2 linked regions of the Macaca fascicularis genome follow. The protein of the gene in region 2 purifies or fractionates together with the protein of the main gene of each other region. This does not show direct contact. Links are inferred from orthologs where the notes say so. Each region holds a gene or a part of one and is shown on either strand. Other genes may lie near its edges. The genes, in order: PTPN6 and CD33.

The links.
Region 1: the proteins of CD33 (region 2) and PTPN6 purify together in Homo sapiens (co-immunoprecipitation; 4 studies listed by BioGRID and IntAct, with this or other methods). This does not show direct contact. The link is inferred for Macaca fascicularis from reciprocal best matches to the Homo sapiens genes CD33 and PTPN6.

Annotation. Positions count from the first base shown.
Region 1 is NC_088385.1:7,893,844-7,897,648, reverse strand, and holds part of PTPN6 (tyrosine-protein phosphatase non-receptor type 6), read right to left. Parts: intron 3,119-3,805; coding exon 2,929-3,118; intron 2,774-2,928; coding exon 2,657-2,773; intron 2,553-2,656; coding exon 2,439-2,552; intron 2,264-2,438; coding exon 2,167-2,263; intron 1,531-2,166; coding exon 1,451-1,530; intron 1,255-1,450; coding exon 1,105-1,254; intron 766-1,104; coding exon of another isoform or gene 745-765; exon of another isoform or gene 562-744; intron 19-561; coding exon 1-18. UniProt on the Homo sapiens protein: Tyrosine phosphatase enzyme that plays important roles in controlling immune signaling pathways and fundamental physiological processes such as hematopoiesis.
Region 2 is NC_088393.1:59,037,219-59,041,697, reverse strand, and holds the start of CD33 (myeloid cell surface antigen CD33), read right to left. Parts: upstream 3,092-4,479; 5' UTR 2,884-3,091; intron 2,723-2,883; 5' UTR 2,560-2,722; intron 1,691-2,559; 5' UTR 1,494-1,690; coding exon 1,461-1,493; intron 359-1,460; exon of another isoform or gene 331-358; coding exon 270-330; intron 208-269; coding exon 1-207. UniProt on the Homo sapiens protein: Sialic-acid-binding immunoglobulin-like lectin (Siglec) that plays a role in mediating cell-cell interactions and in maintaining immune cells in a resting state.

The sequences.
Region 1 (3,805 bases), on a different chromosome or scaffold from region 2:
GTATGTGACACATTTGTTCTGGAAAGGGAGGGTCGGGTGGGGATGAGGCACAGAGCAGGGCGCTGTGGCCCATCCCAGGTCCCGCTCTAGGTTCTGAGTGCCTGGCGCCAGCCCAAACGTTTGTTGGATGGATAGATGAGCTGGCAGAGAGGCAGGAGACCTGGGCTCTCGTCTCAGATCAGCCACCAACAGGTGGTGCGACCTGGCCAGCCGCTTTACTGGTACATCCATTTGTCATTCAACAAACATTGCCGAGGCAGGCGTTGTCCCCGAAGCCGTGCAAACCAGGCTGTAGTCACAGACACAGCTAACACCCAGTCTGTGCCCCTGTGCCTGGAGGAGCTCACAGAGACAAGTGACCGGGGAGACGCCGCGCTGAGGAGCGTGGCTGGGAACGAGGAAACTCGCCCTCTAGGTCCTGGAGAAAACAAGACCTGAATTCACAGAGAAGGCAGCGCTTCAGCTGTGTCTTCAAACACGAGGCATCTGCCGGGCGGAGACAGTGTGGAGACAGAGTCATTTCCTAGCAGAAAAGAGCTTGTGCAAAGAAAGGCTGGGAACCTGAAAGAGCCGCGGCTGCTGGGAGCGGTGAGCCTTCAAGAGAAGCGTGGGAGTCACAGGGAAACCACCAGGCCTTGAACGCCAGGCCTTCGAGTGTGACTTTATCCCAAAGGTGACCAGGAGCCATGGAAGAGATTTCAGAGGGGAAGGAACTCGACCCAGTTTGTCACGGATGGCATCACTTCAACGGCAGCACAGAGGGTGCTGTGTAAGGGGAGGCTGCAGAGTGAGGGGCAGACTCCACAGACATCTATGGGGCAGGGAGGACAGGAGGGGCCTGGATGCAGACAGGTGGGGAAGGTGTAGGAGGAAGGAGGACAGCCTAAAACCTGGGTCTGGAGCTCAGAAGAGCCCAGGGGTGCATGCAGGGATCTGGGGGTTGCATCGTGTAGTCGAGACTTTGTCACTAGCCCTCAGTTTCCCAACAAGGCTGGACCCTCACCCCCGAGATCCCTTTCTGCTCTGGCATCTGACGGTTCTTTGACTTAATGGTATGACCACAAGGACGGGGCACGGATGTGGGGATGGGGCGGGGTGCCCTACCCGGCCTTTCTCCACCTCTCGGGTGGTCATGACGATGACGCGGGTGTTCTCCTGCCACGCCATCTGCCAGAAGTCGTTGACCGTGGCCTCTAGACAGCCCTGGCTGGCGATGTAGGTCTTAGTGTTCTCATCAGGGCCTAGCAGCTGGTTCTGGACACAAGCGTGGAGAGACGCACCCCAAAACAGTGAGCCCCTCAGCCCAGCACAGGGCCTGAACCACTGCTCCCCTCACCCATGCAAGAAGCCAGCTTTGGCTTTGCCCAGGTGTCTCTGGATCTAGGGTCCCCCACCAGACAGGGAATTCCCAGGGCCCAGCCTCTCCTCCCACATGACCCACACCACTGACCTTGATGTAGTTGGCATTGATATAGTCGGACCCCGGGATGTTACTGTCACGTCCCTGCAGGATCACTCGGCTGTGGTCAACTGGGAGTGGGTGGAGAGGAGGCGAGATGGCCTGGGTCAGCCAGGGACTCACCACACCTGTGTCAGACCCTCCTGAGCTAACAGGCCGTTCTGGTCTCAGAAGCCATGAGGCTTGCGGGGGACTGTGGGCAGCAGGGGTGGGGGATCATCTGTACGGAGGGAGTGAGGGGATTCACAAGAAGGAGGTTAGGAGCAAGGGGCAGCCTGCCTGCTGATGGTGGGGAGGCACTTCTGGGAGGAGTAGAGGCCTTTTGGAGAAGGGGTGTGGGGAGATGGCCCCTCCTGGAGTGGAGGGTGGAGACCTGTGAGATAGGGGCGGCGGCTGGAGCGGGGCGGTCTCCTGGGTGAATGGGGCAGGGGCGGCGGTTGGGGCGGAGCAGTCTCCTGGGTGAATGGGGCAGGGGCAGCGGCTGTAGCAGGGGAGGTCTCCTGGGTGAATGGGGCAGGGGCAGTGGCTCGGGTGGGGCGGTCTCCTGGGTGAATGGGGCAGGGGCGGCGGCTGGGGCGGGGCAGTCTCCTGGGTGAATGGGGCAGGGGCAGCGGCTGCAGCAGGGGCGGTCTCCTGGGTGAATGGGGCAGGGGCAGTGGCTGGGGTGGGGCGGTCTCCTGGGTGAATGGGGCAGGCTGGGTGCTCACAGGGCAGAATGTTCTTATAGCGGTTCTTGCCCTTGTTCTCTGGCCGCTGCCCTTCCAGACGCTGGTGCAAGTTCTTCACCTCCTGCTTCTGCAAACTCTGAGATGTGGGTGAGGAAATGAGCATCACCTCCCAGAGAGAGCACCCATCAGGGGAGCTCACGTGGGGTGGGTCAGGAGCAGAGGTGGGCAAGGGGAGGAAGGTGTCCGCCTGGGGCCCCACGCGGCCGCCACCGCCTCAGCTGCCCCAGCCCTGCCGGTTCCCCACCATGCACCTCAAACTCCTCCCAGAAGCCAGCCTTGGCTGTATCCTCGGACTCCTTCTTCTTGTTCAGTTCCAAGACTCGGTTCTCAATGTCAGCCGCATTCACCCTCGTGGCGTAGTACGGCTGGGATAGGGGAGAGCGAGAAGTCAGCAACTCAGAGGTCTCAGAAGCTCACACCTGGGGGACAGCTCAGGGGAAGGGAGGAAGCAGCTGGGTCCCCGCCTGACCTGCCGCAGGTAGACAAAGGCACCTGAGGCCTCCTCAATCCCCGTCTTCTTGAAGTGCTCCACCAGGTCCGTGAGGCTGTCGAAGGTCTCTGAACCACCCACTGTGTAGCGTCCACCCTGGAGGGAGCCAAATAAGGCCACTCACAGGGCTCGAGTCTCCCTCCCTGGGCCCCAGCCTTGAATTCAAGCCCAGGCAGACCCTCCCTGCCACCCACACTGCGGTCACAGACAGGAGCCTCAGCAGAGGCTCCCCCACCACCTGGCTGCCTTACCTCACACATGACCTTGATGTGGGTGACCCTGAGCGGGGAGCCTGGGCCAGCCTTGGGCTGGTCACTAAGCACAGATAGCACAAAATCTCCAGGCTGGCTGAGACTCTCACGCACAAGAAATGTCCAGGGCTCGCCCTTGGCCTGCAGCAGCGTCTCTGCCTGCCCTCCAGACATGTGGCCATGGTACCACCTACAGAAGGCAGCGTCAGGGAAGGTGAGACCCAGGCCACAGGGGAAGGCGCTGAGCAAAGATATTCACAGAGAGGGGCAGGAAATCAAGCACCTACTGTGGCCAGGCACTGCGCTAGATGGTTCCAAATCCACCATCGTATTGATGCCTCTCACAAACATGCTGAGGGCTGGGTATGATATTACCCCCATTTTATAGATGAGGAAACTGACGCTGAGCTGTTACTCACTGGCCTAGGGCCCCTGATGGACTCCAAGGCAAGCCTCCAGAGCTCTGTTGCCCAGGCTGGAGTGCAGGGGCACGGTTATTGCTCTCTGCAGCCTTGACCTCCCAGGCTCAAGCTATCTTAGCCCCCAGAATTCTGACCAGGCTTTGAACCCAGAGACCACCTCTGAAAGGCAGAAGGGCTGGCAATATTCCAAATATTTGGAAGAGGGAAACTAAGGAAGAGTCTCCATGAAGGATCAGGCTGTGCCCCGGCAGAGACCAGAGGCAAAGAGAAACACAGACCAAGGCCACACCACAGGGAGTGGTGGGAGATGGACAGAGAGACACAAGTCACAAGGAAGGCCAATGGGGTGCGCTCCCCCAGGGAGGCGGGGAGGACAACCCCACCAGGGAAAGAGTGGTGTAGGGGGCTCTGGGGTGCCCTGGATGATGTCACTGAAGGGGAGCCCAGGGTTCAAA
Region 2 (4,479 bases):
CTTCTTGATCTAGCTTGTTTGTGGCCACTGGAGAGTCCAAGGATACAATGGCTCCTTCCCGGAACCAGTAACCATGAACTGGGGAATTCCTGGTGTGGTAGGGTACGGGATGGAAGAAAGTGCAGGGCACAAGGACGCACAAACCCTCCTGTACTGTCACTGACTCCTGCACTTCCAGCCTGACTCTTGGATCCATAGCCAGGGCCCCTGTGGGGAAATGAGGGTCAGCTTGGCCCAGCCCGACAACCCCCCTCCCAGCAGTCACTCACCTGCCCACAGCAGGGGCAGCAGCAGCAGCGGCATGTCTGAGGCTGAGGTTTCCTGGGCTCCCTGTGTGAGCAGAGAACAGGAAAGGAGTGGAGGAGAAGGGCTAGGGGGCCGGATAGGAAGCTGGGGAGGAGCAGGAGACCTCAGCCCTGCATGGAAGAGGAACCTCAGACCCACACGTGCTCAGAGCTTGTCCCTTCCACACAGATTGAACCTCATGGGCCAGAGATGCCAGAGATCCGCCCAGAGAGGGGAGGAGATGGAGCAGAATCTGAGTCTTGCCTCCCAGGAGCACCGGAGCCTGGACCAGTACCTCCGGGGCCATCTGAGACATGCAAACCCCATGTCTAAAATCCTTCCACTCTGAGGTACTTTTCTGTGAACAACTGTTTGCATGGGGGCTGGTCACTGCTGGCCTGGCCCGAGTCACAGGCTCGCCTAGATCCATGGGGTGATTTGTCCAGCAGGATATAGGATTCTATAGGGTCTGTGTGAGTGTCTGGGGCAGAGAAACAAAGAAGAGTCCTAGGTAAAGTGAAGGTGGCAGCCATTCATTTCTTCATTCATTCACTAAAGACATAGTGAGTGACAGAGCAGGACCACTGTCATCTCAGACAAACACCGCCACTTTAAGTTCCAACTCCCTTTCTAGCCTCATGCATTTCAAGGAAATCACTTCTCTGCTAACTACCAGCAGCCAGAAAGAGCAGACCGGTGAAACACGGATAAGACAGCTCAGGCACAGAGGGAGGTTGGGGGGAAAGTCTCTTGAGTTATTGCCAAACTTCACTCTCATCCAATGGGCCCTAGTAAAACAGTGGGCCTTAATAAGCACATTCCTTTGCCTTCAGGTGCACTAAGTTGGAAAGCTAAATGCAGACTCAGTGGGTATGCCTGCAGCTGCAAAAAGATGTATGGGAACAGATACACAACTCTCCCTCCCAGATAAGCACAACAAAGACACACAGAAGCAGTCCAAGCCTCTGATAAACCCTCCCACCCTAAATCCTTAAAAACTCTTAGTCTGTAAGAGAGTGTGCCTCTACCTAACTCAGCCAGAAACTCCTCTCAGGTTTGTTTTCTCTAAAACCTGTCTTGACTGGCGAGCCACCATACATGTTTCTTTCTTCTTTCTTTAATTCTTACATTGAGCCTTTGTGTGTAGGTGGGGCTTGAGAAGAGATACCACTGACCTGATTCCTGCCCTTGAGATGTTCCCCATCCATAGCCTCATGTCCTCACCACACACACACATATACTGTCTGGATTTAGAGCTGTGAAAAATTGGGAATTTGCCATGTGTCATGGGAGCATATTGGAAAATTTGAAAGAAATTTGACTATAGAATTTTCCCCTGGCAGCTAGTACACTGCTTTGCACAGTGTCGATGACATCTCCAAAATAAGAACTATGCAGCATCTTCCTGTAAAACAAAAGGGAGAACACATGTTCGTTCTATGAACCAGTGCAGAAAAAAACTTTTTTCTGTTCATGCTGTTATTTGGTTCAGTATGGGCAGAAGCAAGTTTTTTTAGAGGCTCATGATATGGATCAACATTTTCATGTAAAAATCTGCTTCTCACAGTTAAATATGGCCCAAAGACATAATATTTCCAGACAACATGAGTGGAATGTACAGAGAAAATTAAACTTTAGGTCCAGCTACGTGGTTGTCCATATCACTCTGTGTAGTATGCATCCAGCAACCCTTGATCCCTGGGACATATTAGTACTTGCCACCTTACCTTTGTCAAATCTCTACACACAATAGTATCTAGATAACTCTTAATTCGTCCTTACTAATAGAGAGGTAGAATCCTCATTTGATATACAACAAATTAAGTCTCCAGTAAATAATATCTGTTGTAAGTTATTTAGCATGTGGCACATAATGGAAAATTCAGTACATTTAGTGCTTTTTTTTTTTTTTTTTAAGACAGGGTCTTGCTCTGTTGCCCAGGCTGGAGTGCACTGGCATGATCACAGCTCACTGCAGCCTTGACCTCCCAGGCTCAAGTGACTCTCCCAGCTCATCCTCCCTAGTAGCTGGGACCACAGGCTCATACTACCAGGCTGGAGTAATTTTTTGTTTTTATTTTTAGGAGAGATGGGGTCTTGCTATGTTCCCCAGGCTGGTCTTGAACTGCTGGGTTCAAACAATCCTCCCACCTTGGCCTCCAAAGTGCTTTGACTATGGGCGTGAGGCACTGTGCCCAGTCACATTTAGTTTTAACAATAAAGTCATACTATGTTCATGGACCAGAAGATCAAATATGAATATGTGAGTCTTACTGTGTTTCTTTAATGAATTTAATGAAGGCCCGAGAACCAAGAGCAGATGGATTTCCCAGCTCCAGAAGAAGGAGCAAGCTCATGCTTCCCTCTAGCTCTTTCCTTCTACGATTCTGTCATCTGATCCTTGGCCCCAGCAGAGTCCCCGCTCCCTGGCTGGAGCCTGAAAGAGAGAGAGAGAGGATGGGGAGGAGGGACCTCTCCTGGGCCCTGTCTCCAACATCCTCCATCGCCACATAACAGCACATCTAAGAATAAAGCGCATGCTCAGTGCAGGTCTACACGAATGAATGCTTTAATAAATGGTGGGGGCTGTTTCCCTACCTTCTTCCTAATTCACACTGCAAAGCTGCCCCTGATGAGGCGTCCCTCGTCCGTCTTTTTCTTACGGATGCGTCTGCTTCCTGCGGCAACCCCCGCCGAGGCTCCCACGTATGTCTGTTTCTCTCACTTTTCAGGAGCTCTGAGCGGCCTGTATGTGTGCATCCGTGCTGCCTCATACCAGGTAGAGCCGCAGTCTATTCTCTTCTGCAGACGGAAGAGCAACGTGTGTTTGCTTTGAATGCAGGAAGTACGTTTGCTCCCATGTGCTGAAAGATTTTGTTGTAAAACTTCCCTGTAGTGTGGCGCCAAGGGAAGCCCTCTTCTCTCTCTGCAGCAGTTCGTGGGATGACTTTTTTGTTTTTACCAACCTCCCATCCAATACGGAGCAAGCCACGGGAGAACCTCCTGTGATCCTCAACACACGAGAAGTGAATGAGCGAGTACGTCCTCCACCGTCGGGACCAACTTTCACGGGGATTTGTAGAGGCTGTAATTCACAGTATGGCCACCAGAGGGCAGTCATAACCCTTCACTTTCCAGTCCTTTCACACCAAAGACACATCAGGTCAAACGTCATGTGAGACTTGTGCAAACAGCTGGAAATAGTTTTTTTTTAATTGGAGAACGCTGTTAGTGAGCCTTTAGTATTAATTAATTATTAATTTATTATTAACTGTTCTAAATCCTTTACCTACAATAGATCTTTTGAACCTTATGAGAATATGAGAGACAAAAAACACATCACCCCAAGATATGGCTGTAGGAGACCAAAATACGCCACCCCAAGATGTGCCTTTTTGGCATAAAGATTATTTCAAGAGCCTGTAGACACAGGAGACGCTCTGAGAACCAGGGAAGAAGTTCCCTTTTTTATTTTTATTTTTTATTTTTTATTTTTTTTTTATTTTTTTTTGAGAAGGAGTCTCGCTCTGTCGCCCAGGCTGGAGTGCAGTGGCCAGATCTCAGCTCACTGCAAGCTCCACCTCCCGGGTTTACACCATTCTCCTGCCTCAGCCTCCCGAGTAGCTGGGACTACAGGCGCCCGCCACCTCGCCCGGCTATTTTTTGTATTTTTTAGTAGAGACGGGGTTTCACGTTGTTAGCAAGGATGGTCTCGATCTCCTGACCTTGTGATCCGCCCGTCTCAGCCTCCCAAAGTGCTGGGATTACAGGCTTGAGCCACCGCGCCCGGCGAAGTTCCCTTTTTTAAAGGGAAAATCACATCTACAAAGGAATCTCCAACAGCGAAGGGGTCTCCCTCTGTACCTGGCAGAGAAGACGACTCACTCACGAAACTCTTATCAAGGGAAGAGGCACCCATGTGATCTGCAAAACAAACCTCGCTGTTGTTTCCTGGTGTGTTTCCCTGTTGCCTTCCGATAACTGGCCTGCCCACACCCTTCTTTCTTTGCTTCTGTGGAAGATGCTGTTTAAGCCTGAAGTCAAAGCCACCTCTTTGAAATTTACTCTTTTTCCCTGGGTGTCTCCCATGTGCACATGAGGTATACAGGTTGCTAACCTCTGTTTTTCTTTTAATAAACTTTTGTTACTTGGGTTCTTCCCAACGGAGGACTTTGAAGTTCTGTCACTCATAGT